Lepisosteus oculatus: one gene and its partner. The protein of the gene in region 2 interacts with the protein of the main gene of each other region in a pairwise test. Links are inferred from orthologs where the notes say so. Each region holds a gene or a part of one and is shown on either strand. Other genes may lie near its edges. The genes, in order: sav1 and serine/threonine-protein kinase 4.

The links.
Region 1: the proteins of serine/threonine-protein kinase 4 (region 2) and sav1 interact in binary tests that used the Homo sapiens proteins (3 or more experiments, as listed by UniProt). The link is inferred for Lepisosteus oculatus from reciprocal best matches to the Homo sapiens genes STK4 and SAV1.

The regions. Positions count from the first base shown.
Region 1 is NC_090703.1:13,041,876-13,058,075, forward strand, and holds the start of sav1 (protein salvador homolog 1), read right to left. Parts: upstream 8,563-16,200; 5' UTR 8,148-8,562; coding exon 8,054-8,147; intron 5,923-8,053; coding exon 5,458-5,922; intron 1-5,457. UniProt on the Homo sapiens protein: Regulator of STK3/MST2 and STK4/MST1 in the Hippo signaling pathway which plays a pivotal role in organ size control and tumor suppression by restricting proliferation and promoting apoptosis.
Region 2 is NC_090711.1:425,210-441,018, forward strand, and holds the start of serine/threonine-protein kinase 4, read right to left. Parts: upstream 7,752-15,809; 5' UTR 7,608-7,751; intron 7,479-7,607; 5' UTR 7,309-7,478; coding exon 7,274-7,308; intron 2,447-7,273; coding exon 2,366-2,446; intron 1,000-2,365; coding exon 871-999; intron 426-870; coding exon 311-425; intron 177-310; coding exon 12-176; intron 1-11. Other genes in the region: cox6c (cytochrome c oxidase subunit 6C), read right to left, coding at 9,107-9,232, 10,221-10,334; tomm34 (mitochondrial import receptor subunit TOM34), read left to right, coding at 12,333-12,465, 13,254-13,353, 13,601-13,753, 13,869-14,017, 14,289-14,430, 14,523-14,649, 14,994-15,095. UniProt on the Homo sapiens protein: Stress-activated, pro-apoptotic kinase which, following caspase-cleavage, enters the nucleus and induces chromatin condensation followed by internucleosomal DNA fragmentation.

The DNA of each region.
Region 1 (16,200 bases), on a different chromosome or scaffold from region 2:
ATCTTTCCAATGGGACTGGAAGGTCGCCAAAACACAAGCTCGTCAGTGTAAGACTACAGCATGTGATCTTTTAAAATATGTGACCCACTTCACAGCGGATCGATCTTTTTGAGATAGAGGGGGAAAATTCACTACAGAAGTACACAAACAAGTCAGCAATCGGTCTGGATTGCAATGTGCGACTATTTTAAGGAACCATAAAACTATTTGAAAACTCGTGTGCAACCTTCACCCTGCCCACTGGAAGAATGTATAAAATACAATCCTTGGCATTAACAACAGTACTTTTAAAACTGGGCGATATGAAAAGATTTCAAACAAATTTTTATTTACAAGTAAACTTCAACACCAATGAAAAAGGAGGACGGTTGAAGTTGGTATACATTCTGTAGCCTTAACTATCCAATAAACAAATGTCTCCCTACACATAAATATTCTACTTTTGAAGGTTTGTTTCAATGTTTACCTTCTCCACAAAGAAATCAGATGTATGTTAAGTGTGTTAAGTGTGTTTTAGAACTGAAATCAAAATCATACCACTTTAGCTGAGATGTGGGCATTAGTGAAACTATAAAATAAGTAGAAACAAGGATACAAGTTCACCAAACTGTAGCAACGTTTGCTAGAGAATCTTCCATCTGCAACATGCAGTAGAGTAAGGAAAATCTATAATCTGTAGTGAGCAGTAATAAAATAACTCTTGGCATTCACATAGCATTATTTAACCCAAAACATCCCCAAGATAACATATCTAACATATCGGAAGATGCCGACAATCTGCACTGAAGTGTTACCATAATGTAGCCCCACTGCAGCAGCAGATGACAGACACAACAGAAACTAATTTGCCAGTTGTTTCTGTTTATTTTCAACATAAATATTGTGAATAAACACAGTTCCATTAAAAAACGTTAAGAGGCTGACTGAACAGAAGTAGGTCCAGACCCATTACTGTGACCTGGGTGCCAATCAGACAGAGAACACTGCATCACCGGGAAACTGCTTGCATTACCCTTGGCTAGTTCTTCTTATTTGTATTAAAAAAATAGACAATAGTCAGCTCAATATGAATAAGCAACTGAGTAGAGTTTTACATTTAGGGAAAATGGTGGGAAGCACAAATCTCCTCCCAGGAGACAGGAAGGCACAAAACCCAGCCCTCTGATTAAAACGGAACGAGTCCAAGAAACTCCAGGGGAGTTTACACTAACACCCACACACACAGCAGCCTGGCTACAACAGAGGAACTGCACGGTCACGGCCTCATGATGAACAGGACCAAATTTCAGAGTATGTTCCTGTTTGGGTTTTTCTCCTAGGGTAATAGTAGAAGTGGCCATTAAAACCAACTGGACATTCATTAGAATTAGGTGGGTAGCTGCGTCAGCTGCAAAGGAACAAGTAATAGGTTTATTCCACCCTGAAAAAAAAGAAAGAAAACAACGTTTTGGCCGTGGAGCCTTCTTCAGGTGTGTGAACACACACCTTTTTTTCCCCAGCATGGAATAAACCTATTACTTATTCATTAGAATTAGTTGTGTTGAGCCGATTTCATCCTTATACACTATGTTTTGAAATGATGTGATGCACTCATACATTTTTTTCTGCTCGTAACCTCAGTGTGTCAATTGCTGAGAAGATGAATCTAGATTCTCACCCCACTCTCATTCTGAAAGACTCAAGCCCTTCAAAATGATAAATGTAAACGACTGATGTTTCAGCTTTGTTTTGCATCAAAATATATGAGCGGAATTATGCTGCATAAACTGCCAAGTGTAACCAGGAATTCAAATGATTTGCATCAGCTGCTGGAAATTATATAAACATTTATAGTTTAAAAGAACTGTTTTCCCACAACTTCAGAGGAGATTCAGTATCTCCTTAATATGTTATGTTCTGGACATTGGTTTACTTAAAAAACTGACTACAATTTACTGCTCTCTCTCAATTTTATTATCCCCTAATTTGGAACACAAATTCCAACATGCTGAGAGAAACCATCAAACTGAATATGAAAGAGGGGCAATTTCAAAATTAGCTAACCCATATTAGCCCAAATGTTTTTTTTTTGTTTCAAAAGATAATAATTTTGGCAAAATTTCAAAATAGTTTTTAGCTGTAAATAAACCTTTCTGGGTGGAGCACAAGGCTGAACTGAATTGCCCTAAACCATAAACCAAACATTAATAGCGAGCAATAGGTCACATTTAGCATTTTTCCCTCTGCAGTTCCTGTCTTCATTGTGTTACAAGGAAGGCATGTTGTGATTTACCCTATGGCCATGCTAGATTAGCAAAGGCTGATCTACATAAACGTTCAATAAATTACATAAGATACATGGATATTTCACAGCCTTGATGAGTTTTCCAGAATCACTGGCATCACATCTTAAACCACAATCTTCCAACACATTGGCAGCACCAGACTGATAAATTCTGCATCTGAATGAAAACTCCCGGCTCCAGCTGATAAACACCTGAAATGTTAGACAGATCCACTGAAAAGTGTCCTCCTCAACATTAATTTTGTGCATTAAATATAAAGGGGGAGAATTTGTTAAAGGCATTTCATAATCTTAAGTGACTCATTAAGATTATACAAATTTATACTAAACTAATTCTATAGCTGCAGATGATTACAATGCTGAAGCAGTAATGAATGGATTACATTTATGATAGTACTGAAATCCAGCATTTTTCAATAACAGGAAAAGATTCTATCTATTGTATAAAGTTTCACAACCTTCTAAGGAGATGTTTTCAAAAGGAGTCTCTCTATAATAAAGAATAAGGAGCAAAAAATGAAAATCTCTGGGATAAAAGAGGAGCTTCTTGAGAACATATAACATTTGTTCTAATAGCTTTATTGGTCTTCTTCCTAAATAGTGATATTTCCAAACCAGATGACTACAATAAAGTAAAAACAAGTTCACTGTCGCCATATAGATGTTATTGAAGTGTTACAGAAAATCGCTTATATAAATCTAGTTCAAAGTCTGAATACTTGCAGAAACTCCTTCAAAACTTAGTGCCGGCCACAACATGAAAAGAGGACAACGAAATTCAGCAGAACTGTGGTCAAAGGTAACACTGCACACAGCAAAGCACACCCTTTAATCCCAATGTATTCCTAAAGTATTCCCCATCCCCACCTACATCTGCTTTAATCAATCATTTCTACTAATCCATTCATAAACTGTTACTCGGAAGGTAATAATATACTTGCAGGTTATTCTCACAACGTTCTCAACTTTAATTCTTAATTTTATAACACATTAAAACACATTCTTAATTTTTTAGTTAAGGAAAGAAAAATATACGCCTAGGTCTACATGTTTTTAGGGAAAATGTGAATACTTTGTGATATTCACCAACAAAACTGTCACTGCTATTTAGCTCTATGTAAATTCTTAGTTTGTCACAATATCCCCTTTCTTTGTATGCAGTAATCGTAAGAATTAATTAATGGATATTAATTTTAGGGTATAATACATAGTCACTGCTTGACATTTTTGGCCTTCCCAGTTGATACATGAACATTAAGGAATTAGAAAAATATTTATTTCCTCACAACAAGGCCAACGATGATTCCTGAGGATAATTTGTGATTAATGTGGGCTTCATCAATTTATCATCTACTTGCTTAGAGCTAATCCAAGGCTCAAAATTATAAGACAAGTTGTAAATTTCCTGAGAAAAGTAATCTAATAGTTCAAACACATCAAACAGCTCATGAAATGGAAACTCTTGCTCTTCTTTTCAGTAACACTTCATAATGTATCAAAAACTTACTTGAATTTCTGTTGGATGACTGAATACAGTAACTTCAAGTAAACTGAACATCAGAGAAATCGGTTTCAAAGTCTTCAGACACTGGACTGTTTAAGCTAATTATATTGTGAGACTCAAAGGGAGTTTAAAGTGGGATACTCCAGTCTAGAGTCATGATGAGTCTTGTTAAAATAAACATGCAAGTTTATAAAAATGGTAACACCGCCTTCCATCACCATCTTAGAAATAACCTGTATTTAAATATTGTTGTAAACTCCCAGTAAACACTCTAGAAATACAGGAAAGGCGGCACCATTGTGTACAACATCTTGTATTGTTAGGAATGTAAGCAATACTACCTGCCACTAAGTGGTAATTACTGTAATAAAAATCTGATACTTGGAACACAACGGACATTGTGAGATTATCAGAGGTTACACTCAACCTGTGTACAAAGATTAAATAGAAGTCTAGACAGGTAATAAGGCATAAAGAAGACCAAGAAACAAACAAACAGCACACAAGGCTTACATTTTCTGCATTATATTGTAATTTAAAAATAAAAAAAAACAGCTCCAGGACTGCTGCAGGCCAAAGCTGGTTCATTATGTATCAAAATACATCTCGGCTTAAAAAATGGAAACTAAAAGGATAAGAAAGCCCCCACTAGAGTGGCAGAAGAAAACCACAGTCTTCATGGCTGGAATAACCAGCATTCCAACAGCCTTCAAAGCCGCCTATATCATCCCCTTCTCTTACAGTAAATTGAATGTCTCAGTGTTCTGGAGAACCAAATTACATGTGTAGAGTTAAGTTTCAAAAACAAAGTTCAAGTGCATCACAGCTGAAAACTGTGTCGATAAAAAGATGTGATACAGTGCACCCTTACTGAATAGATCTACACTTGGCTTATAAGAGACATGGCTATTATTCCATTATTTGTACAAGTTTGAATTAGTCAGCATAACCACTATGCTTTTCGTATCTGTCTAAGGGATATTGCTGGGTATTTACACATCTCAGTGTATACACTCCTGTAAGCACAGTATCCAACCTAAATGTATTTTTGAAACACAGATCTAATTTGTATTACTATGTAAATTAATATTTACAATAAGAAGCTGTCAATTTTTAAAAGTCAGCTCCACCTTTCTAAAACCAGGTAGGAAGTAAAACCTATACTTTAATAATTGTACATATACTGTATACAGTGTGCTATACATAAAATTGAAAATAATACTAATACGACAACATTCCATGTCTATTGGAACTTAAGTTTCTAGACACTGAATGCCTGATAAAACAATCTAAAATGAGATTTAGTGCTACTTTTTTACATTTTTGAGTGCATCTAAAGTATTTGCAGAATTAAGAACATAAATTGTGGCTGGATTGAGATCTAGCCTTGACTAGTAACAGTCTTGACTCCCAACAGCCACAGTGAGAACCAACTTTCTCCTCACGTGAGCAAACCATTTCTGGCCTTGATTTGCCAAATTCAACCCATATTCTTCACACTGAAAAAGGAAACAATGTAAAAACATGCATTAAGTGCAACACAAGACCATGCTGTTACACCTCTGTGGCTTTATGGATTATACACAACAAGCGACACTGACAGCTAAACCAGTGACCATGTCTCGGAGCCAAGGACAGAACAGGAAAGAGGGAACGCTATTGAACTCACCAGCATGTCTGCCTTGGGGCTGCGAGGGTGGCAGTACTCTTTGGAAGTGGTCGCTATTGTGTTCATAGTATCTATAGTCCTCGTGAAACCGGTCTGGCACGTGTCGCCGCCGCTGGCCATCGTAATAGGGGTCAGGAGAATAGAAATAGCGGGCAGCGCCACCGGCGTCGCCATTCTCTGCCATCGGGGTGGCCTCGGTGAGGAAGGACTGCGAGGACCCGCCGTACTCCCGCGGAAGGTCTCCCAGGCTGCGGGGAAGGTAGGGCGGCGCCGACAGGCGGTTGCTCTCGCGCCTGGCAATCTCGTGGGGCGGCCTCTGCACCGGCCCGCGCAGGAAGCTCTTGTTCCGGGAGACCACTGGCTCGCCCGGCCCCACGGGATACCCTGCGGGACCCTGCTCCGGCAGAGGGATCTCGGCGCGTCTGGGAATGGTAGGCCCATGTCTTATAAATGAGGGCATCAAATCTGGAGGAGTGAAGAGGAGAGGGACCCCGCTGGTCAATGGCAACAAACCGCATGACCGCAAACTGGACTACACGAAGTGCCATCAGGCCTTTTGCTTGATCGTCAAACAGTTCAGTTCCTATGGTTTTCTTTCAGAAGCAAGTGCAGTACCGGACTCGCTCAGCTGACTCGAAGAGAAAGCACAAACACACAGGGACAACTCCCTGAGACAATATCTCACAGCAGCGACTTCACAAACCAGGGCATACTCGGAGCTGGTAATAAAGCCGGCCGGTTATTTTTTAGTCTCCATCAGAGAGCGTTTCTAAAAAACACATGCTTCTTAAAATACAATTTATTCAAACACCGATGTAAAACCGCATTTCTGAAGAACAACTGAGCTCAACCAAGTCTTGTTTTGTGTTCCACTTTTGCTAAAACACCAGATCATACAAGACTGTAACACATGGTAATCAGCGATGGGACAGTTCCAAATTGTACATTTAATGCATTTACTTCCCCGCCTCTAGTACCAGACTCAAAACACTTATGATGGCCCTTATAAAAATACACCAAACAAACAAAGTAAGAATTCCAGCTGGTCGAGTAAAGCAATTTCCTAGTCAAATTGTTTTGCTCATCTTTCGCCAACAGTGCATATTTTGCAAAACAAATCACCTGCCACTGGCTCAACAAACCAGTTACATAAATATAGCGGAATTTCCAGGAAAACAGTTTCTTTTTTAAGCCTGACTATTCCTCTTGTTCAGTAAGCCGAATGTAGTTTTTTAAAGAAAGCATTCAGCTAATGTAAAAAAAAAATAATTTCACAGATATTAAAGGGAGACTGTAAAGAAACTAGCATTAACATAATCTGACATCTGAGGAAATGACACATTACATGTCTTGTGAGAGCCACTTATGATTATTATAATAAGGGTTATTATTGAGTATGTACTTCAAATATTCATTTTTACACTTTTAACAAAAACACCAAGAAGGTAATTAAAAAATACACATGTGAAGCACCAACATGCTAACGGACAGTTCGATAACAATAAAAAATGTTCTAAGAAGAACTCAGTCAGTCCATTGAATACAGATATCTGCTACAGGAAGTCAAAACTTTTACTGATCTCTAGGTAAGAAACACATTGAGACATTTTAGACTAATAGGCTATGTGAGCTCACCTTTTCATATTCTTAGATTGCTCTGTGCAATGTGTAAGAAAGAAAAGTTATTGGTAATTTACTGAAATGCAGGAAAAAGGTTGTTCTAGGTAAAAAATTGTAACATGCTGCTTCTCACTGTGTGTGAAGTGTTTGTAGCCTTCACAGTCATTAGAGTAAAAGTGACTTTGATATGCTACAACATTAAAAGAAAACTCGAAGAATGTTCACAGCTTTCATCTCCCAGCTGGTTCTACCCACTAAGCAAGATCATGTAACCTGAGAGTGGAGCTGAAGTGTAAGCAAGCCTTGATCTTTAACACTGACCCTAAGCATACAAACAAAAATGACACCTTAAATCATTATTTTAAAACAAAACGAATAGCCTATTTAAAAAAAAAAAGTCAATGCATTTTTTTCCCACAAATCCTAAAAAGTGACCAATTAAATGGAGATGGGGGTGGGAGGGGAGTTACCCTTAACGACTTGTGAATTGCAGCAAATAAAATAAATCTGAAGATTTTAATCCTGGCAGCAGTTAGCAAGGGAGAAAAATATCTGATAAACTGAAATACGTTAAAAAAGTTTCTATTCGCAGCACTGTACCCACATCTTCAAATTAAAGGAATGTATAAAGTGAATGAGAAAATAGCCAACTGTGACGGGGTTTGAATAGTTTCGGCAGGGCACAGTGAGGACCTTGTGTTTTTTTTAAACCGTGAACTGTGGCTCTCGCATCCAAACGCAACCACTCCCATCCCATCTTTTATAACATCGGGAATGCACAACGCTAATGCTGTTCAATACATTAGACGTTAGACTCGTAGAAAGAGCAGGGACATTTCGAATTAAGAATAACATAAGCAGTGCATATTGGTATATGCAAGTTAGATAACTTTTTTAGCAATGTAAACACTTGCATCTGAGGACTGCAGGAAAACGAGAGAATTTAATTCTCCCCCCATTTTGAAGCTCAACTTACTTCTCAAGAGGGGGGACGTCTCCTTTTTTACGTATTTTCCGTGTACCTCGGCTGGTTTCGACGCTTCGTTTTTACTTTTCTTTCGGGAAAGCATAACTCGAACTGCGAGGGAGACATCAATGCGACGAAACAACTTCGGTGCGCCTCAGGAAATCGAGAAGACCGCGGCACAGGAGCTGGAGCAGAGGAAGAGGCATTTTCATTTTTCACTCGGGGCAGAGGCAGCCTGGGCTTCGACGTAAATCCATTTGTTAGTGCCAAAACAAATCGGCAGACTAAACGGGCTTATGAGAAGTTTGAGCCCGCGAGGAAAAAAAAAACAGTTTTTTTTCAAACCAGAAAAAACATATCGCGTTGCATTTCAGTTAATATTCATAATTTGCCCCCGAAAACCACTTTTACTTGGTTTCCCCTCAGCCTGTTGCTCCTATCCTATTCCCACTCCTCTCCACTCAACATATAAACTTCCCTGCTTCTCAGGGGTTTTTTTTTCCAACACGCAAAGGGTTCTGGGATAGGTGACGCATTCGCCTGAGCTCTGTGGTTAAGGTGATGGGACTGCCTGAGCTCTGAGGCGTTGTGAGGCTGGTGGAGCTGGTTCCTATGGAAACTCCACAGCACGGAGTCAAGAGTTGCTGGAACCGTGCAGGACATAGCTGATGCTCCCTCTGATTTAAAACTATTTCTTGATTAATAATTCGTTGAGAATTTGCAACCGTTACTTGACAGCTAATTGGTTTCTTACAGGTACCCAAAACTCGGTTTGCTAAGCCTGCTATTGGGAACCTTGTGGAGGTCCTTTGGCACATATAAAGTAAAAAAGACAACAGTGCTTTCGGAATATTAATAATTCTTAGGATAGCCACTTCCACAGTGAAAAACTGTGGTTTACCTACAAATTATTGTCAGATCAGAAACGCAGTTCAAATCAAAAGATGAAATGGCACACATCATTCCTTGTTCAACGATTGGGTGTTTATGGCAGCACATTTTATAACTTTCATAGTGGAAATTAATTTTTTCCATTACCACTTCAGTTGGAATTAGTGTTATTCCTCTGAAATCAATAGATTTCTGTAAAGATAAATATATAAGTAACAGAAAACGCAATGTTTCAGCTGTGGAGCCTTCTTCAGGTGACACACATCCGAAATGTTGTGTTTCCTTTCTTTTCAGCATGGAATAAGCTCGTTACCTGTTCCTGTATATATAAGTGTTTACCCTGCCTTGTGCCTGCTGCTTGCTGAGACAGATTCCAGCTCCCATGAAACCCTGAACTGGAAGAAGCAGTTAAAAAGTGGGTGGATATATACTTTTAAATATAGTGTTCTATGGTTCTATCATCTTAGACCTTTGCCCATGGAGCCCAACTAAACAGTATTAAAAGAGCCAGCTTTTGGAAGGATGATTCAAAATTGGTAGCAACTGTGTAATTCTTAGAGTCTTGGAGTTGGGGACTTCATTCCACAGTGGATCAATAAAAACAGGTGATCACATGTGACCAATATGATAGGAATCAATACCTACCAATAAAAAATAAAGTGCTTCTGATGAATACTCTGTTTCTTAGTGCAATATAATTATGATATTGCTGTTGAAGCATCAATTAGTGACAGTGCTTCCACCATACAGTGCTACAGTCCTTGATAATACATTGCTTTTTCAGGTGATTTTTACCCCAGGCTGGTGTGATTTCAATACATGAAATGGTAGGATTTATTAAGGCTAAAGAATTAAGCTGATTTTGACATATAGTATCTGGAAAAGGAGTGGTGAAGGTATTTAGAATATGCAAGTGATCCCACAATATGTGCTAGCTTCCAGTTATTTCCTGGTATGTTGTATGCTCATAAATTATACCAATATCAATGGCAAAGTATGTGTTTCTATTTTTTATTCTTCTTTGTTTTTTAGATTAAAATATTTGCCAGTGACACAAGCAGGGAAGAATTTATCAAGGTATTTTTCAGAAATGTGTCCAAGATCTGGGGTGCTATTGAACATATTATTTTCTGTAGCAAACTTTATACAGTCAACCAATGCCTGATGCATATGATCCCTTTTTTATATTTCAGTGTGTCTGATAGATTTAATTTTTAAAACTGGTAGAAACTCTTTTCTCATGGCTTACCTCACAATATTGTTTTGAGCCCACTGTATTTTATGAATGGTACTTGCCATCTCAGTGTACGTGGGTTTGGGTGGTAGCTGATGATGAAAATACACATAATAAATGTGCATAACTGTAGCAACTCTGCCCAGAGTGTAGCATGCCTACATTTCAAGAGCCAGGGAAAATCAGACTTCATTCCAAGCTGAAACAAATTCCACTTTTTCAGATGATGAATTTATGAAGACTTGTTGCAAAATATGTATAGCTACTAAGTCTTTTACATTAACATAAATACACTGTACATTAGTTATATTTTATTTTATTTTTGGCAAGCTAGTACTAATTCTGTTATATATTATCCAGATGTGCTCTGTATCCAGACATTGAGATGGAACATCTGGTTTGATTATATGTTGTGTGGCAAAAGAAAAGCTTGTTAATTTTGAACATTCTTTTCTTTCCAATGACTCATAGCATTAAGTTGTGGATTCATGGTAAATCCTGTTTTAAATGTTGTCTCTGTGACCATAGAGATGAATCAGTCTTGCATGAGATCCAAATTTCACAACTGGATTCTTAAATGGGGTACTACATTCCTCTCTTTTATTAAATAAATCATTTTGGCCCTTAGTTGAATATACAATGAACTTCCCCCAGTTTATAGAGTATATCTAAGTATTTGTTCCGATGTGTGAGCTTGACCTATTCACAGCATGCACTCATCATATTTGGTGAAGTAAACTAAATGATCAAAACACAAAGTTAGAACTTTTTACAATGTCATCATAAGTAATCTTTTAATTACCTGCAGGGCTTATTTACATAGGACAATAACATGGAGTCACATTTGTAATTTTTTCTTTTTCCAATAGTTACCTGTCTCTGGACCTGACTCTTTTATGCAGTTAAAATGAGCCATTTAGAAGGTGGATTGATTTTGCTTTGTTTGGATTGGTTTAGTTTTGCTTTTTAGCATCCCGCCAAATCAACATGAACTAATGATTTGCTCTAGTGGTTGAATCAGCATCCATAAAACATTCTGTGACATGTCTAGGATTTTCCCAATTATACTGTATTCATCTAACTTGCTTGGAATAGCCAATATCTTTGTCTTTTTCATAGATTATATATAAATGCTGTCCAGAGCTTGTTTTAAAGGAGAACTGCAGTCCCAATTTCTCAGACCATTTATTAAATCCCGGTAACAAAATTAATTAATTGATGGTATTGCAAAATTTGACAAATTCCAAATTAATCACAAATTCCAGAAACGTACTGTATGCTCACCTTGTTGTCGCAAACCGCTGGTCTCGCTGCCGCCGGGAGTGAGAGTTCTTGTGAATTGTGATGTGAAGCAGCCCCTTCCTGCTCGCTAGTCACTGTAGTGACTAATGTAGTGTGATGTATAAGTGAATAAGAACAGGTTGTGCAGCACACATTTTACAGTAGAAATGTTCCAGTGTGGCCTCTGTGCAGAGTTAACAAGTACTGTAAGTAGTATTCGTAGGCAAAACTGACTCGGAGTTGAGAGCAATATTTTTCATGTATTAGGTATTCACAAGCCTGCTTTTTTAGAATGTAATAAGACCGCTTCACATTAGCAGAAGTTTTTGCCTTGTTCTGAATTGCAGGATTGACCCTGTGCAATCCTGGAAATCTAATTTACTTTGTGTTGGAAATTGGAGGTTTTTACAAGTTACTGTGTACATTGTACAAATGCACTCATCCACGCCGACTTTTTCTAAACATAATAATAGCATTGCAGTTCCTCTTCAAGCAATACTGCATTCAAATACAAGGTGAAAAGCAAGCCATTGCACCTTGAAGCTTGAGTTTCTATGTGAACTGTACGACATTGCTACTAGAGGTTGAATCGATCCACACAGATCAACAGCTGTTGATACGGGTCTGTTCAAAACGTCTGAGTGAAGTGAGCACACAGAGCAGAGATAAACCGCCGTCGCGGAAGGACTCAGGGGACACACGGCACATTGTTTTGGGCTTGGGAACAGAGACCCTCCCCTCTGCTGTGCTACACCCCTTCCTCCCCACCACCCGCCAACATCCAGATAACGAGACGAGCGCACTTGCCTCTGAGCACAGAGGATGCAGGGATGACAGATGGGGACTCAAATTCTTGTTTTCCCTAAAGATCACGCTCTGAACTGCACATTTCCTTCAGCGGGACAAGACAAACCCCGCCAGAGGAACAGCATGAATCCAGTTTTGCTACCAGGCCTCTTAGACATTAAAGCAGAGGCGTAGCCACGGGTCGTGCTCAAGTCCACTGAATATTTAAAGGCACGGTAAAAGCTCCGTGAAGTTCGCCCCCTACAGACAGCACAAACGATGAAACCCACCTCATTCGTTAGTGCTACGTTTCTGCCAGTTTGTGCCATTAAAAGTAGCGTCTGTGCTGTTTTCGTTCCCGAGATACAACGCCTTGTTTTTCCGGGGATCATGTGACCATGCACGGTGACTTTGACCTCCAGTGATCCCGTCTGCCGAGTTCAAGCGCTGTTACAGTTTAGCTCGTACCCTTAACATTTTATAGACAACCAATATCCATAAACATATGAGCCTCATTAGATATGAATAATACTAAGACATGACACATGCCAACAAGTTAACCATCTATGACATAAACCTATGGTTGTAATGTATGTAAAATCACCGTGATTGTTAGATCTATGGTTTTTATTTTCTATGGCACGTTTTCCTTTCTTTCCCTACCGTGACACGCTGTTGCCAAACGCGTAACTGTGGGATACCATAGTGACAAGATTTCCGCAGCATGTCATGATAGGGACCCTATGTATATCGCATGTAAATCGCGGCAGTGTATATCACGACTGGCGCCTTGCTTCCATGCCACCCTGGACCATATCAGGACATGATATAGCCAGATACTACATCCCGAGATATATGGACTTTGTGTCACAACATGGGGTCAGCATATCCTGTCAGGGTATGTCCTATAGCAACATATTGTAACGCTTACGGCCGACAAGCACTGTGTGTAAGAGCCGGCGTACCAGAGCGGGTGACGTCACCGCCCTTCCCTGTGATAGCAGGCTGTGGAGAGATTTCTCTTTAGCTCACGGGGCTAGGTCGCTGCAGAGAGACGCGGAAGTCCCGGGTTCGAGCCTCCAGTCGGGATGGGGCCGACCAGATGAGGCAAGGGCGCCCGCCTGAGCCCCCGTTGCGTTACAATATAGATTCCATGTCGTGATATGGGAGCGGGACATTTTGTTGGGGTATGTCATATCGCGATATACTCGCTTCATGTCACGACATGGGCGTGGTAATTTTTTGTCATATCGCAATATATGGACTCCATGTCGCGACATGGTGGGTGGGCATTTTGGCTGGGCATGTCATATCGCGATATATGGGCTTCATGTCGCGACATGGGGGCGGGGCACTTTTGCCGGGACATGTCATATCGCGATATGCGGACTCCATGTCGCGACATGGTGGGTGGGCGTTTTGGCTAGGCATGTCATATCGCGATATATGGGCTTCATGTCGCGACATGGGGGTGGGGCACTTTTGCCGGGGCATGTCATATCGCGATATGCGGACTCCATGTCGCGACATGGTGGGTGGGCGTTTTGGCTGGGCATGTCATATCGCGATATGCGGGCTTCATGTCGCGACATGGGGGGGGGGGGCACTTTTGCCGGGTTATGTCATATCGCAATATGCGGGCTTCATGTCGCGACATGGGGCCGAGGCGTTTTCTCGGTGTATGTCATATTGCGATAAATGGACTTAATGTCGCAACAGTGGCGCCTTGACAGCGCCTTGATATTGATCCACCAGTCGCAAGGGGTATTGCGATGTGACTGTGGTGCGCGCACTCCTATCGTGACATGCTATCGGAGTCGTGAACGCGCTGTGGATGCCATGACATTCTTTGTCTGCTATTCAGTTTTGACCTCAGTGCGACTTCTCTTAGTTTGATCAGTAATTGGAAACCAGTGGATGTGTTACTGTATATCAAGCGTGCTCATACAGCACACAGAGAACACACAGAACTTCCGCTGTGGCGCTTTACCCAATCAGAGTGTCGATTCTCACTCTCACTCCCAATCGGAGCCCGAGCTGTTCGGGGGTTTAGCCAATCACGGGTCTGAGAGCTGTTCAAGCTAGCAGCGCCGGGTGGATCGGCTTGTTTACTGTCAATGAGAATCTATTTTTAAAATGCTTTACTTATCGGCTTTTTTAACGTCTTTATTGATTCACAATGTCCCGTACTCTTCGAAATAAATACATTTTTATTTGCAATATAAATGTCTCCGCTGCTTTCTGTAATGGATACATGGTGTTTGAACAATTTTAATCGTATATTTAAGGTAGGGGAAACACCTTCCGCTTTGTACTTCAAAAATGAATAGAAATGTAAAGTATATGATAATAATATTATTATGCTCGTGCTTTCAATTTTGTTTTTTATTGTTAAATTATATCGATCTTGAAACTAATACCCAAAAATGTAAATATGGGCTCTCGTGTTGTACCAGCGGTAATTTGGAAATTAGTGTCTCTTCACCAATGAAAGGAGTACGCAAGCAATACATTTTCGAGAACCCAATGAACTAACATAGTAACTCCTCCCTAAATGTAAAACTGTTTATTCGTGTAAAGGCTGCAAAGTCTGGGGTCAACTGATCAAAAGATCACAACTGAAAGATCTGGTAGTCGTGACTTTGCTATTTTGTACGTCACAGAGTGACGTCACAGCCTGGAAAAGAAGGCGCTATATTGAAATATATTGAAACATCCACCCCAGCCGACCAGACAGACTCGGAAAACATATTTTGTGTTTTGTTGCCCCAATTGTTTTCATCACAATCAGGAACAAAGTACCGAGTTTGTTGGTACCTGTAAACTTCCTTGTAGATAGTCAAGTGATTACCCGAAGGCACGAACGCAACACCGATTGAGACCAGTCCGGTTTCCCTGCGACGTTGTAGGGGGCTGAGAGATGCCACAACCCCCCTCAAAAAAAGGTTCTATATATCGGGGGGAAAAAGCAGCACAAACACTGCTTTCAACTGCACAAACCGGCACAAACGTAGCACTAACGAACGAGGTGGGTTTGCAGGGGGGGCAACTTCACGGAGCTCTAGGTAAACATTGCATGGTATTTTAAATACAATATTTCGGACGGATTTTGAATCTTGCATTCTGCGTTCTGTTCATTGTGTTTTGTAGTAAAATATTAACTACAGAGTAACTCGTAAAACTACTGAACAATTTAAAAATAGTCATTCGAAATACTTAGAACTGTTACTTGCAACAAGTGAAAATGAGCTCTTGCAGATTTTCTTTAGCTAAAGACAAAGTCCTCATATGAGAGGCCTTTGCAAACTATCTGTCGTTTATCTGGAGTTTGCCGACTCTCTAGAGTCTAGACAGTAACCAGATTTTCGCCATATTCAATTCCAAGCCCCGACGCTGGTGTCACATGTGGTCCTCTGTTCAAGGAAAGGAAACTCAACCACCCTACAGTACATGCACAGAAATATTTTAATGTACTGCAGGTGAAACAGGAGGTGCTATACTTTTCTCTTTCTCTTTTCATGTGGTCCCATTCTCAGTAGGTTTCATATAGCCTTACATGTACAGAAGCACTTGGATATAGTACATTTTTAAAAAAAATTCTTCAATAATTTTATGCAATAGTTTACTCAACAAATAAATATGAAAATAAAGGCCTAAAGGCTGCAGTGCACCTTTTCTGTGCGACATGTAGTGCGACTACAATAATACCAATTACTTCAGTTAGCAACAATACACCCTTCATTCAATTTGTTTTCAGCTTCACTTTAAATGGCCAACTGACAGCCATCTAAATATAATACTATATAACATTCCCTCCTTCTGTTCTTTACTCAGCAGCAAAACTCACTTCACCAGGAAAACTGTTCCCAGATCATTCTTACATCCACGTAACCAACTGACAGATCAATAGGGAGACGCTGGAGACTTTCCTCTTGAAACGCATGTGAAGATCGCAATACCAGAT
Region 2 (15,809 bases):
ACAGGCCGTACCGTCAGTTGTCCTGCCACACCAAAGTCTGCGAGCTTGGCCTGTCCTTCTGAGTTCAGCAGGATGTTTCCAGCCTTGATGTCTCTGTGGATCTTCCTCATGAAGTGCAGGTACTCCAGCCCCTTCAGAGTGGACTGCAGGATGGTGGCAATCTCATCTTCCGTTAACTGAGAGAAGGACAAGATAGAGGGCACGCATGAGAAAAGGGTAGTTTTTATATTCACATTCAGCACAGGGCTGGGGTCATAACTCATTTTCATCGGAAGGTATTAAAGGAATAAAGCAAAATAAAGCAACTAACCGTCTTATTTCTCAGACGAATGATGTCTGAGACAGAACCAGCCCCACAGTACTCCATCACGATCCACAGATCGCTGTTCTTGAAGTAACTTCCATAGTATCTCACCACATGTGGACTGCAAATACAAGAGACTTCCTTTTAGGGGAATGAATTCTGATTTACAGGCATTCAGTCATAATCCCACAGACAGTGACTTTGCACTGTTGCCAAGACATTGCCATTTAGACAAGAAAAACAATCACATCATATCTATCTAAAGAAATTTTAGAATTTTGTATCTAAAAAAAGAGAATGAAAACAGGTGAAAGGAAAAACATATTCTGGTATAAATTCACAAACCCCCTTACAATCCTCCACATACCACTGTAGGAGACACTGGGTGGTGATGGACAAAAAAAAGGTGAAATGGTACTTTTGTGCTAATAATAACCACAACAATTAATAACACGTTTTCAGCAACTGAGTTACAAAAAGCCACAAAAACAAAATCGACCTTGTGATTAGAATGCAACTGCTGAATGTGCTTGCTGTGCTTTGGGGGGAAACTAGACATTACTTACCTGTTGCACTGCTGCATTATAGAGATCTCCTTAATGATTTCCTGAAGGTCTGACTCCACAGGAACCTGCTTGATTGCCACAATCTCCCCGGTTTCTTTATAGTTAGCTTTGAACACGCTGCCATAGGACCTGGCCAACAGGAGAGAGAGGGGAAGTCAGACAGTCAGAACCCTGCTTTGCTCAGAAAGGCATCTACTTCCATTATTTAAAGGCTTCTTTCTGGAATGTTTTTCATAAGCAGCATCTCACTGTGCTTTAATTTCCCATTCTTCCTTGGACCTATTTTCCTGTGGTGCAGCTGACACCAGTGAGGGTTTTTTTTTTAATCACTCAGCTATTTCTACAAGTGAAGATGGGACATGTAGGGTTAATTCCATTATCTGTCCTAGAATAAGTGAGAATCTCTGCTGGTTTCCCCATGGATTCATGTGTCTGCTCCACTGTGCTCTGCAGCTCACAGGAACTCCCACCTCACAGCCACTTCATACACAATACAAATATTTTTTACACACTGGCAAGGAGTCTTTTAAAAACTTTTAAAAACGCCTTTAATCTGAATCATCTCTGTAGACATTGAAGAGACTAAGATCTTTCACTCATTTCTAAGTAGGTCACAAATCTCCTTTAATGAGGAATGAACCGCATTTCCCTAGAACAGCAGGTCCTCAACCTTCTCTTTCTTTGTCTTGTTTCTTGTAAAGTGACAGCTGGCGCGCAGCCAGAGTGGCGTGAGGTGGGCGTTTCCGACTCGCAGGGGAGATGCCGTCTGCAGGCAGCACGGTGCCGGAAGCCGAGAGCATGTTAAGAAACAGGAAGGACACAGCACTGCTGAACCTGAGCGGAAGAGATGGCGTGTGGCAGGCCTACTGCCTGGGGCCCCTCCTCTCTCAGTGTACAGAAATAGATGACTCTAAAGAGCAGAGTGAGGCAACTTCCACTGCACAGGCAGCAGGTGGCCTCCACACTGAATACACTGCAGTGGAGCCTGAACCCTCAGTACAGCACAGAGTAGACCTCAACACTCCCTGTACATTGCAGAGGCCCAGTTTGCAGACAGGCAGTGAGCAAGAGGCCGTCTGGGCAGTGGAAATCAGAGATGTGGAAAACAGAGATTGGATGATGTGCATTTATAAAAAAAAAAATACAAATACACATTGTAGAAAAATACCTTAGTTTCCTAAACCAGGTTTCATCAGCAGAATTAACGACAGATTGGTCACAGTTGGAAGAGGCACCCAGTGTGGAAAACTTAGAATGCTAAATAAACTACACTCTATAGGCTGGACTGCTCTGCCTTACAACTGCTTTCTCTCACCTGTGGTCGCACCAGAAAAAGAATCAAAGAAAACTGCACTCAGAACCTCAGTCTCGCACAGTCTGCAGGGCCTGACACAGACACTCAGCAGAAGGCCACCCTTTATGCCAAGGGGGTGGAGATCTTGTGTGAAAAGGGGTAACAGGGCTGGATACCAGTAAACAGCCACATGGTGCTTACCCCTCTCCCAGCTTCTCCAGGATGTCAAACACTTCCTCTGGCTGTTTGGTTAAACTGTCTTCACTCAGCCTCTTGAACTGCCTGCAGAGGAAAGAGTCAGAGAGCTGTGGGGGTGCCTTTTTTCAGGAATCCCCACAGCTTACACACAAACTAATAGCATTAAATATAACTGGCATATACAAAACAAAATCATTTAGCTGATGCCAGGCCCAAGGCAACATACAGTACAATGAACAAACAATGAAAAGACAATATGCTAAAAATACATCATGCAGAGACATTTATACAGAATACTGGTTAATGCAGCAGAACTCAAGAAGATACAATAATGTACAATAATCTCTACTACAGTATGTAGTGACACAAAAGCAATACAGCACAAGGTACAAAAAAGACAGGGAAGAGCAATGGGCTCTGGCATTGCTGGTGTGAGAGAAGGTCCCACCTTTTCAGTTTTCAAGGTTTCATAGTTTATGTGAGGATTATAGTAATCTCTTTTTTAAGTAGTGATTAAAAGGACCATTTGTCTTTTTCCCCCCATGGGCTTCCCTCACACGTAGTCCTTTGAAATCTTTCTATTCATCTGCTATGGTGCACAGCTCTTTTCCACCTGCATTTGCTTTGTCTCAATTGTTGGGTTGCTTCTGCTTTTGATGACAAAGTTTCCTTCAAAGTGATCAGTTATCTTTACAGCATTTCAAGCTGTGTTGCGTTTAAACATATGCTCGTCCTACCAACTCAAAGGGGTTACAAAGCTTAATATTAAGCAAACAGAGCTGACCGAATACAGCAATGCAGCTGCCAATCAATGAGTTTGGAAGATCAACAACAGCGATCTGAGATGAGTGTAATTATTTGACTACTCTACTGCAGGCCTTCAGCTGGGTGGCACCATCTTAGCATCTCAAGAAACCAGGTTTGCTCTGTTCTGTTCATGCCCTCTCTCCTTGCGTGCCAACACACAGGCAGATTACAGTGTCGCCCGCTACAGTGCGACTAGATCTCCAGCAGCTATCATGCGACTGTAAACTGTACTCTTACAAATATACTGGAGGCAGCCTGTTAAGAATTTCAAGAGAAAATGAGAAACCATTCCCTTCAGACCTTCAGCTGCCACACTCATTTCATTTTGTCACTCCTCGTGTTTTAGGGTGCTGATGACATAAAGGGATTTACAAAATCTACTGGATTGGAGAACCTAGATGACTGCATTTAGGGACCCCAGGACTAGAATTCATTGAACTCCTTTTTTGTGTCTTTCGCAGAACTGGAAATCTCCAGGGGGGGGGGGGAACAGACGAACGGTTAGTTCACCGGTGATGGGCATTTAAAAGAGCGAGTGAGTTAACTCTTCTTGTTGCTGGATTTAAATGGAAAGTCTCATTTCAGAACAGCCCAAAGCAGCTTTATCCCCTGTCTGTGATTACCCAGGGCAGTAACTTCCCCAGGTCTGTGAAACTTTCTGAGGCACAGCAGAGCATTCAACAGACACATTCAAGGCTCTACACTCTGTACAGAGCACCGCTGCCTGAGAACTCCCCAGGCACTGTTCTCGGAAAGCTGCGAGGCAATCTCAATGGAAAGCCTTCATGGCAATCGAGGAAGCTGACGCTTCTGCTGGGGCTGGAGGGCCCTGATAGCACAAGGCCAACGGCTGCCCCCAGGATCCCTGCCACAGCACAGAGTGGGCAGGGCTGATAAGACAGGCTCATCCTCATTGCACAATGCGTGGAGGGGCCCAGCCCCTGGCGCAGACCACACCCCTGTGTCACCGATAAGGCAGAAGATGAGGGGAGAAGACAAGGCCGTCTCCTGCGGGAAAGGGCTAAACTCCTGTCCTGTCCTGCAGACTGGTGGGACTCCGACAGCCGCTTGTCTTTCCGGGGTATGACGCCTGGGGAGGGGTGGGAGCACAGGACAGCACTGCGCTGCGGTCTCCCCCCAAGGAGCTAGAGGACCCCAAGCACCTCAATGTCTGTCTCAGAGAAAACAAACATTTTGAAGTGGTTTATAGCATTTTCTCTTTCAGGTATTCAACAGCATTTAAAAACCCCCGGTTATATACTTTTTACACTTTTTAAAATCCCCTTTATGTATTTTGATCACTTCCTATCTTTGATCTCCCTGTCGAACCCCAGAGGCTGACTCAGCTCTGACAGCCTTGCTGCAGCATGCAGAGAGCTGAGGTGGGGGGGGGGGAGAGACGAGGGGGAGAGCGTCCGGGAGCCGGAGCCCGTCGGCGCGTGCGGAGCATTCCAGTGCAGGAGTGCAAGCAGGGACTGGCCCGGGACAGCCAGCCGCGCTCCCCGCCGCCCACAGGAGCCAGCAGCTCTCGGCACCCTCGCCAGAGCAGAGGCAGACAGCGAGCATTTCCCAGTGCTGGTGATGGCAAGGGGCCTGCTTTCAGTCTCCACTTCCATAACCCTTAATCTGCCAGTGGGCCAAACAGAGCAGAGGTCTCCCAATTACTCCACTTAGCACGATTTATCCAAGGTGACCTTTCGGAAATTAGGGGATGACCTATACACAGTGCTTTTCACAGATCGGCAGCAACATAAGGCACCTGGTGGTCTGAGCATCTTTAACCAACTGAAGTCTCTGCAAAAGATTCCCGGGCAGCTCTTCAGCACAGCCAGAGCTCCTTTCCTTCTGTAATCAACATACTAAGAACCATGCAAACACACAAAGAGAGGCTTGTGCCACCAGATCGCAACAGATCGGACTGGGGGGCCTTGAGTTTGTCTTTCCCTGAAGCAGAACTTAAGAGAAACCGATTGGTTCCTAAACACACCGGACACCCCACTAAGCAAAAGGCATCCCACATCATTTCCTAATTTCCTCTTCAAGCACAACGACTCCAACCTCGAGACCGACGTGTCTCAACCACCCAGGAGAGCAGAGAAACTCTGGCATAAGTCAAAAGCCCTTCACATTAAAGAGGAAGCTACAAAAAATTCCTGCCCTGGTTTAAACCAGGAGTTTCAGAAACATTTCTCTCAAATCTGCGGCCGGTTCAATTTCACAACAGCGTAACACGCAGAGCTGGTCTGCACATCAACATCTTGAGTGAGATTACTGGTAATCTGTACTGTCTAAGCCATCATGGTCGTCCATTTCTTACTCAATTTACTCTGTTACTCATTCCTACAGCCATTTTTCTGTTATACAAAATGATGGAAAGACATACCCCAACTTTTAAAGACAGAACAGCAGAAAACTCCTTTAAAGCATTCCTGACCCCTCTCTAAGATCCGGACACAAAGACAGACATGTTCTGTAGCTCCATGCAACAGAAACAGCAAAAAATAACATTCCCTTTTTCTCCATTTAAATTTGAAGTCTGACAGCGCACAAACGGTTAATTTACAGCAGGCACACGAACGGGAAGAACGTGTACAGCGATACATTTTCACAGCAGAAGGACTACTTCTGCAATTCTAACACCAGGCTACTGCGACATCCCTCGACTGCCTGTGTCCCAGGCTAAAGGGCACAACCAGAATCTGGGGGACAATCTTCAGGTACAGTCAGTGCAGAGGAACCCTGGCTGCTTGTCACCGTGCCAGTGTTCCCAGAACACTCCTGCTGACTCCTGACACGATGCCGGCCATTAAAACAGAAACACCCAGGTCACGTACCATACAGTGGGGAGCCAAAGACCTGCAGGGCTACAGCTTGTGAGCACAGAGCGCACAGCTTTGCTCCCATCAAAACTGTTTATGTAGTATTGATACTGAAAGAGTCCAGGCTGATGGGGCTTTGTGTTATTTGAGATTGAGCCAGATGGAGCCAGTGTGCTTGTGCATGATTTCTGTTACAAACAGGTGGGTCTCTAGACTGTCTTACAGCAGGGCTCTCCAACCCTGGTTCTAGAGACCCCAGTCCAATCTGTATTCTGTCAATTTTACCTTGAAGGACAAAATTAAGAGAGTTTCCGCAATAGAACAAGTTTTCTTTCAACTTTTGATCACTCAGTTTTTGGAATCAACTACTATACAGTACAACATAGTACATGTCTAATATACGTCTTACAGGCCACCTTAAATCTCACTTCTTTTAAAGGAATACACACAGATCATTGATCAATTAAGCAAGTAACGTGCTCAGCAAAGGGTATAGGAATCTGGCAGCATCTTTGGATGCTGATTGGTATTTTGATTTTTGTTTCCAATCATTTCTGAATTCATTTAACAATTCACTGGTTGAACTGATAAAAACGGGACCGGTGCAGATTATAGAAGGTGATGGCTGTCTAGGACCAGGGTTAGAGACTAGCTGAACTGCCTTCCAGCGAGACTCGAGGCTTCATCTGGTTTACTTCTGACAGCTCACTGCATTTCCTGCTTTAAAAAAAGTTTGTTGCGCTTCCGTGTTGGGGACAACACATGCCCTCATACCGCTAACAACAGTCAAATTCAGTCACGTCTCCTGCGCGGACCTCGGACTGAAACCGCACAGTTTTCACACACGAGTTTACACTTCAACCCGCTCCATCACACTCGGTGACAGACCGGTCCTATAAGGTACACAAACCAGAAGAAGACTCCAGCTGCTGCGGATGTCAGTTTCCGTATTTCTGCCGAGACACAAGCGCAGCTGCTGTGACTAACGCACTTCCAGACAGGGGAGGCAAAGATGCCTTCGGCTGTTCTGAAACAAGACTTTTCGTCTAAATCCAGCAACAACACGAGTTAATCGCTCTTTTAAATGCCCATCGCCGTTGAACTAACGAAAAGGCCAACATCGTCCGTTTCCCCATGGAGAGTCCCGGCGCAGCGGGAGTTCCCATTTCTAGAAAAGCAAGCACCTGGCCATCCTTTCAGGCAGGAACGGGCGCGGTGGGCAGCCCGATACTGGGCAGCTTTGCCCCGACAGGGCCTGTGCCCCCCTACGGGTGTGAGCGCCTACCTGCGCGGGTGCTGCCGGAGCTGCACCGTCTCCATGGTGGCCGGGCTCTGCGCTCCTTCCGCCCTCGTGCTGCTTCACCCGCCGCGCACACGGAGCGCGGATGAGCCGAGCCCGTCAGGCGGCGCGCGAGGCTCGGGGCACCGGCTTCCCTCGCGGCGGCTCGCTATTGTCTCGCAAGCCGCGCGGCGCTTCCCTCCAGCCCCGGCTGCAAAAAAAACACACAATAAAGCCCCCGACAGCTGCTTTTAAGCGCTTTTAAGCTCCATCTCCCAGCTGCAGCTCCGCTCTCGGCTTGTGTCACCGGCTGGCTCGACGTCCCCCGTCTCCCACTCACTTGCTCGCTCAGTTCCCCTGCAGTTTCTCGCCCGAGTCTGAACTCTTTCTTTCTCCGTCCTTCCGCCTGCCTGACAGCTGAGACAGGAAACCTGCCCACGGGTGCTCGGCAGGCGTGGGGCGGGCCGTCTGGGGACAGGACACAGCCGCACCGCCGCAGTGGGGCGGGTAGGGGGCGCTGGTCCCGGGGCTGAGGGCTGCAACACCTGACTCGTGTGCAGCGCGCCCATTAGCGGATGGTCGCCAGTAATACCGCGAAGCCACGAGGTGTGGAAGAATCTTAAATGACTTGACTAAAGATTCTGTTGCTGAAAGCAAGATGCTCTGCTTGCCAGCTCGTACCTTACAAGGTTACAGCTGTACTTAGTATCACAGAGAAGTGCACTGTCTTGAATTATTTTGCAGAAAACGTTATACAATGTATTTGTCAGGCTTTGCCCAAACAAAACAATACACAGACTGCACTACTGAAAAGCATCTCTTACTTCAGCCAATCATTTCAAGTCTCTTAATCTTAATTGTACATTATCAGTGCCAGCAGAACTCCGTAGCAAGTTGGAACCCAAGTCATGATGTACCACAAGAAACAAGTTCAGAAACAAGTTCTCCTGGTCCTACAGAGTCCTTCCATACAGCCCAACTAACTACTGGGACCAACACCCGCAGAGTTAAACAGTAAAACCACAGAGGGGTTTCCATTCTGCGTGTCGGTAGCCTCAGGGACCAGCAGACTCTCGTGTGGCTCCAGACAGGCCTCCAACACACCCTCTGTTTTCTTGTTCTTGTGATCCAGTCTGTGCTAAAGATGCCAAAAAAGGGCACCGACAAAGATAATCTCACTCCTGGGAGAAGGGGTATTCTGCAGCCTTCAGTCAGTGGACCTTAGAAACGGCTCTAATGCTATCGATGGGAACAGCACTGCTGTTGCAGTCAGATCTCCATCCTCCTTTAATGAGACTGGCTGTTAACAGCTCCATTATGGATAAGAGGACGTGACTTTACTGGGAACATTCAATTTCTGGTTCGATCAGATAAATTAATGAGATTAATGTCTGTGTAAATATGCCTGAAGTGGAGTCAGTCTGATGTTGCATATGTCCAAAGTAAAATGTAGAACAAAATCCCAAACCTCACAACTGTGTTTAAAGAAACAGTTTATTATATTGTGTAAGGGCACACACAGAACCCGAGCTCAGAGGTGACAGTACAGTCGACATCAACGAATCATCACAGGATCGCCAAGGTGCAGGGAATTCTGACCCAGAGGGGACAGCAGGCTTGACCTGGAAGAGGAGCAGGAAGTGGTTAATGGGCCACACTGACCAGGTCCAGTCACAGCTCTGGTGCCACAAGCACATCTTCCTAACTGCTAGGACCTTGTGCAATAACTCACATTGCCAAGAAGCATACCACTCCAGCAACGAGACCACACTCTGTGACAGCAAGGTAGGGCATCAGACTGCTGCAGCAAGAACAATCACAGTAGAAACTCACTTCTGCTTATTTGCCTGAAGGCCTGACGCTCTCAAACACACCAGCTTCCCTCATCGCCTCGAACTCCTTCATAGCGTCATATCGCTTATAGAAATCTGCATACGCCCGTTTCCTGGGATCTGCTACTGTGAACTGTCGAGAGAGAAACTTGTCACTTTAAGGAGAATCAGTCATGTATCATGTATACATCCACAAAAGGAAAGAAAAACAACAGTCCTCATAATTCAGGTGTGATTTCTTGGCTACACCCTACACACTCTGTCTGGGTTTAAATCAACAGCATTGAATCAAAAGCACAAAAACAAAGTTTGCAAAATGGGGAAGACACCTAGTTCATTTTGTTCTCATTAGTCCCAGGGCCTCTGACAAAGTGTCATGTTCTCCGTTTTGAATTAATATCCTTTGCCCTGGTTTGTTTTGCTGTTGATTCTGAAGAGGTCCCATCTTTGAAGACTTTGAATATCTCCTTCAGTCCACTGTTTGGGACTAAGATTTAGTTCCTTTACCTTATCAGAGCAGAACATTTTTCTAGCCTGTAACTGCATCTCTACTTCTCTGGACTGACTGCAGCAAAGGTTTTATAACTTGGTGACCGCATGTATACACTAATCTAACTGGAAATCTAACGGTGGAAACTGTAGGGAAATGGATTGGAAAACTGAGAACAGGGCTCACTCTCACACACAAAGGGATGTGGGAGTCTGGACGAGCTGACCAGTCATATTGCTGTTCAATAACCCTGAATCTATGCAGGAATGACCAGACCTTTCTATTAATGAGCTATACATGCCCAATTGAGATTGATGGGATGAGTGGCCTCTTCTCACTTGTAATTCGTGTTCTTTACTGCAGCCAAGAACATCACTTCAGGCCTTATTAGAGACACAATCCAAGGCCCAGGCTAATAAAAAGAAGAGCTCATTCGCTACCGACATTGAATTCCTTCCTTTGACGCCGTTGCTGTATAGGCAGGACAGGCCACAAATACTTAAGAGAATAACCTTGTCTCCCGTGCTACAGATTTCAACAACTGAGCACATGCAAGTCGAGCAGGCCCAGGTCCTCGAGGGGCCAGGGCCCCGAATCCCACAGCAGGGCAGGCAGGCCGCCCCGCTCTCACCTTGAAGACTGCGGCGGTGGACAGGGCCAAGATGAAGGCGATGGGCAGGTGGAACCGCAGGCGCCTGGCGAGGAGGCCGCGCATGACGGGCTTGGGCAGGGCTCCGGCCGGCATTGTGGGATATCTGGCAATCACAGACCATCACTGGCACAACATGTCATCACACACACGGAGCGCTCAGTCGATTAGCAACTGGCTCCTTTCACAGCTCATGTTGTCAAGAATAAGAGCTACACGAAATGTGAAACTGCAAGAACCTCCCTCGTTCTCTAACCACTCGTATCCACTATAAACAGATTTATTCCGTACTCTGTTGCACACCGGTATTTTCTCATGAAATCAGTGAGGCTTTAGAGACTTTCGCAGCTGGGGCCCAGTGTTCAGATGCCCCAGGGCCCTGCCCTCTCTAGATCACCTCCGACCTGGAGAGACGAGCCACAGGGTGGCCTGCTGGGCAGAACTGGACACATTAGCACAGTTCACTGCTACACTAATATTCTGAGTTTTACCTGCATCTCTTTCTGAACTTCATAAAACTTCTCATTGGTTTATGAACTCAGATACTAAAAAGTTATTACTTTTCGGGTCTCGCTAAATCTCCTTTCTTTTTTGACTTCCGAACCACTTGCAGCAAGCGTCATTTCACACGGACACTTCAGGGATACAGTCACTTTCGCGCATTTAAAACTACGCATTTCTGTGTTTGTGGAGAAAAGCAGCTTCAGTAAGAAGGTAAAAATCTTTCAAGGAACCCGAGTGTTTTATGACGAAACTCCGTTTGTATTTATATCACAGAAGGAAGCAAGTCGTTTTCACTTCAGGAAGAAGGCAATGAAAAAGCCTAGATTTCGACATAACTGCGTGTAAATAATCTTTCATTAGTTTAAGAAGAAAACATTAGACGGTATTTTCAATAGGCATGCTTTCGTATTTCATTAAACCCATGTTCCGAGATTACATTATCATTATTCTACCGGTTTTTACGGATGTTACGGTGACCTACCGGGCTCCTTCCGTAAAACCAGAAAGGCAAAAACAGGATTAACGACATGAAAATCAGCTCAGTTTACATTTAAGGGCTTGAGTCTTTATAAATTGCATAATTTTATAAATAATTTAACCAAACGTTTTAATTCTGAACTCACCTGACGAAGACACGACCTTCACCGAACACGAAGAAGACTGGATGAAGCTACGGAGCCCAGCGAGGGACAAACCGCACCCACAAGCGCTTGAGTACGGTGGCTGAAGAGGCACAAACAGCACCAGCGCCGGGCAGTCAGCATGTTTATTTTACACCTAGGGATACAGGAGTCTGCGCGTTTACGATTCATCGTCAGCTCGTTCTGCCCTAATTTTGAATGTGCTAAAAATGCACATGAGATTATTTTCCGGCATTCAAAGAGGAGTCAGGACGCAGTAGCACAGCATGAGTTTATAATTGGAATTTTAATATGGAACTGTAACTCGGAGCGGTCTTATTGAGTAATTTATAACATTAGAAAGTATATCCAATGCTAAATGCTTGGACTGTGCATCCAGTAATTGCAGTTTAGATTTTTTTCCGTTTACAAAACAGATTTACGAAATAATCCGTAAAATACTTGATGCTTTTAGGAAGGGGCATCATTGATCAACTTCATTTTTTAAGAGGCCACGGTGTGGCGGAAGAGAGCCGGTTGCTCACGCTGTGCGTGTAGTGGGAAACTTGGCCAGATCTCCAAACTACGGAAGAAACGAAACTGAAATATTACACCGGCAGAAAGCAGGCCAGCTGTGCCGGGGTGTCAGCACACGGAGCAGGGCAGCAGCGTGGCCGGGCTGTGCTGCAGAGCTGAGGGCAGATATTGTGCGCTATCTCGGGTCCGTCTGGAGTTGCCCGTTTTGCCCACCAGGGAAGACAGGCCGACCCGCTGACCCCTCATCCCGCAGAGCAGCACGCACAGAGCCTCAAACAAGCGGCTCGTCCCGGCTCGACATTAGCAGGCTGTTTCTGGTAAGGCTTCCTCTTTGTCCTTCTTTGGCTTTACTGCCCGTCCGAGCCGGCGCGGCACTGACGTAACCGGGCGCTGTGTTGCAGCGGCGCAGGCGACCCGGCTCGGTTTGGACGCCATGCCCCAGAAGAGGCGCTCCTCGCCGTCCGTAGCGCAGCTGAAACAAGCCGGCAACGACTGCTTCAGGAGCGGGCAGTACGGCGAGGCGGCCTCCCTCTACTCCCGGGCCATCCAGCTCCAGGAGAGGTCAGGTGAGGGTCCCGTCGCGCCACAGGTTTGAATCGGCGGCCCGTCTCTGCGCCCGTGGCGCTGGACTTGCGGGGAGTCTTTCCGGGACCATTAACTGCTCCTCTGGCCTAGATGGAGGTTTCTAGAAGTGCAAAGGCTGTCTCCCTGCCGGTAACAGGGCCGCCCGATCATTTCCCGGCGTGAAAACGAGGGTCCGGAGCTAAATGACACCGGGAATATGACCCGATGTCACAGCTTTAAATCTGCACGAAAGCGCTCGATGTCGTTAGCACAAGATGAGCTGCTGACCTAGTTAAGTCTTGTCCCACTCTCATAATACAGAGCCGGAGCCCCAGTTCAGTTACTCTTACAGGCCAGGACAAATCGCCCCCTATTCAAAAATCAGGAGCACCTATTGGGCCGGCAGCGTTTCCGAGAAGGAAACACTGATCCTTGGGGCTAAAGGATATTCTGATTTTTGTTGCGATTGGTATCTATTACCTAATTGACCACCCGTCCTGTTTAACTGAGCTCAGATAAACCAGAGTTCAGTTGCCCCAGGTCTTTAGAAATTTAACAGTTACCTGTAAGACCTGTTTCTGGGGTTCCTGTGAGATGTAGTAGTTTCTGTTATGACTATAGGTTTAGTATGTATGTACAGCCCCAGACACGTGCTGCTGGCAGCCCAGCTGGTCTCAGTGGGTCAGACTGCTGCAGGCGGCTCGTCTCCAGTGGCCTGCAGCCAGGGAGGCTGTGGCTCCTGGGGGGTAGGGTGCTCTGCACTGCGGTGAACTTGCTGTTTGTGCTGCAGGCCAGAGCAGCACAGAGGAGCTCAGCATCCTGTACTCCAACAGAGCCGCCAGCTACCTGAAGGATGGGAACTGCACAGAGTGTGTGAAGGACTGCACCACGTGAGCACACCTGCGACCGTGCCTCCCGTCTCACTCTTCAACACACACTCTCACTCACACACACACTCTCACTCACACACACACACACACACACACACACACACAGTGTGTGAAGGACTGCACCACGTGAGCACACCTGCGACTGTGCCTCCCGTCTCACAGTCACACACACACACACACACACACACACACACACAGCCAGCTGCCTGCCGCCCAGCCCCTCACTCTCCCCTCTCCCGGCCTCCAGCTCTCTCAGCCTGGTCCCCTTCGCCATCAAGCCGCTGCTGAGACGCGCGGCCGCCTATGAGGCGCTGGAGAGGTACCGGCTCGCCTACGTGGACTACAAGACCGTCCTGCAGGTGGACTGCAGCATCCCCGCGGCGCACGACGGCACCAACAGGTACTCCAGCACGGGGGCCACGCTGCAGGCGCCTGTCCCCGGATCCACAGGGCTTGTTCCGGACCGGATGCACAGATGCGTCTGTTCAGCTTTGTCCTCTTGCTCTTTGGCACAGAATGACAAAGGTGCTTCAGGAGCAGGATGGTCCCAGCTGGAGAGAGAAGCTGCCCCCGATCCCTGCCGTCCCCCTGTCGGTGCGCGAGAGTCTGGCGCAGGCCGCTGCCCCTGTGCCCCCGGGGCAGCGGAACGGCGTCAGCAGCCCAGGTAAGAGACTCGGGGTCCGGCTGCGCCACACTGACGTGCTCAGTCAAGACACAAGTGAGAGGCCATGAAGTATTAGCCTGCTCTGTGAAAGACACGAGGGGAGCTGGGGTGTGCAGTATGCAAAGGCCGCTCAGCCTGTCTGCTCCGGCTGGCGGCCATGTGTTGGTCCCGAGTCCCTGTCCTTGCGGGAAGAGAGCGGCGTGCCACAGGGCACCTGTGGGGTCTCGGGAGCAGAGCCGGCACGCTGCCTGATGCGCTGTCCTGCCTGCAGGCGTCGCGGCCGAGAAGCTGGCACTGGCGCTGAAGGAGGAGGGCAACGCGCTGGTGAAGAAGGGGGAGCACAGGAAAGCTGCGGAGAAATACTCCGAGAGCCTCAAGCTCAACCCCAGGGAAGCCACGACCTACACGAACAGGTAGGGGTCCGCACTGCGCCAGCGAGGTGGGCAGTCGGAATAAGAGCCACTTCACGTCTGCCTGAACCCGTGTCTCTGTCTCCTCTGCGCAGGGCGCTGTGCTACCTGTCTCTGAAGATGCACAAGGAGGCCGTGCAGGACTGCGGGGAGGCGCTGCGGCTGGACTCCAAGAACATCAAGGCGCTGTACAGAAGAGCTCAGGCCCACAAGCAGCTGAAAGTGAGAATCCCAGCGACCTCATGACCTTCATCACCAAAAAGCAATTTCAGAAAACACCTCGTTAGTCTTGCCGACACGTTCCAAGAGAGTGCGCTGATCCAAAAAAATCAGGCAGTTCTCGCAGGAGAGTAAAGTCCACAAAAATACTTTGATGTATTTTTAACATTCCTATACATCAAAGAAAAAGAACATTTATTGGAATTCTGAGTTAATGCACTCGGAATGTACAGCAGAACTCCAAAGCAGTGTAACAGAAAGCAAAGCCTAAGCATGAAGGTTGAATTCCCTTGTCTATTCCAGAGTGATTTCTTCACACTGACGGACCTTTCTCTCCCCTCTTTCAGGACTACAAAGCCTGCACTCGAGACCTCAGCGCCTTACTGAAGATCGAGCCAGGCAACATGGCTGCTCAGAAGCTGCTGCAGGAGGTGCAGAAGACGAAGTGACGCAGCAGCAGGAGCACATCGCCGCCACAGCCCGGATGAGACGTGTCCGAGGCCGCAGTACGACTCCCACTCTAGTCAGGAATCAGTGTCTTGTACATAGGCTTCAAATCGTTAGTTTATGAGGCTGGTTTATCAGGGACTTTTCACCAAAAGGGCAATAATGCACTTTATTTTGAAAAAAACTGAAAGCCATATGTAATCAGCTACAGTATGAAGTCTTTTTGTTTGCATAGAAAATAAAGAAACCTGAAAACTTTGGTGTAAAAAATCTTGATAAACCTTGATCTGTTATTACTTTATGGAAAGCTTGAGAATTAGGTTAGAAATACTTTAAAACTAAGGAGTGTGGTTTTCTACTGCAGATATCAACTGCTGGTTGCAGCTCCTCTGAAAACTGCCACTGCTTGCATGGCTCCCTGTTCAGCTGGATATCTATGATTAAAAAGCTGGTTTGTACTAAACCATTTCTGTTCCTGATGTTCTTAAAGACAGTGTTGCATGTTTTCTTTTACCAAAAGGTATGGCTGGATGGATGATAAAATAAGGTGGTCTTGGGACAATTTAAATGCATTTGTTGCAGGAAGCTATTCTGTCCAGTCTAAGAACATTTACGAGTTACTGTTACAGAAAGGTATTTTCATTCCTCATGGATGTTTCACAACTTCATCAGTTTTACTATTTACTATAAACTTTCTATTCTTTCTTGGTGTGCCA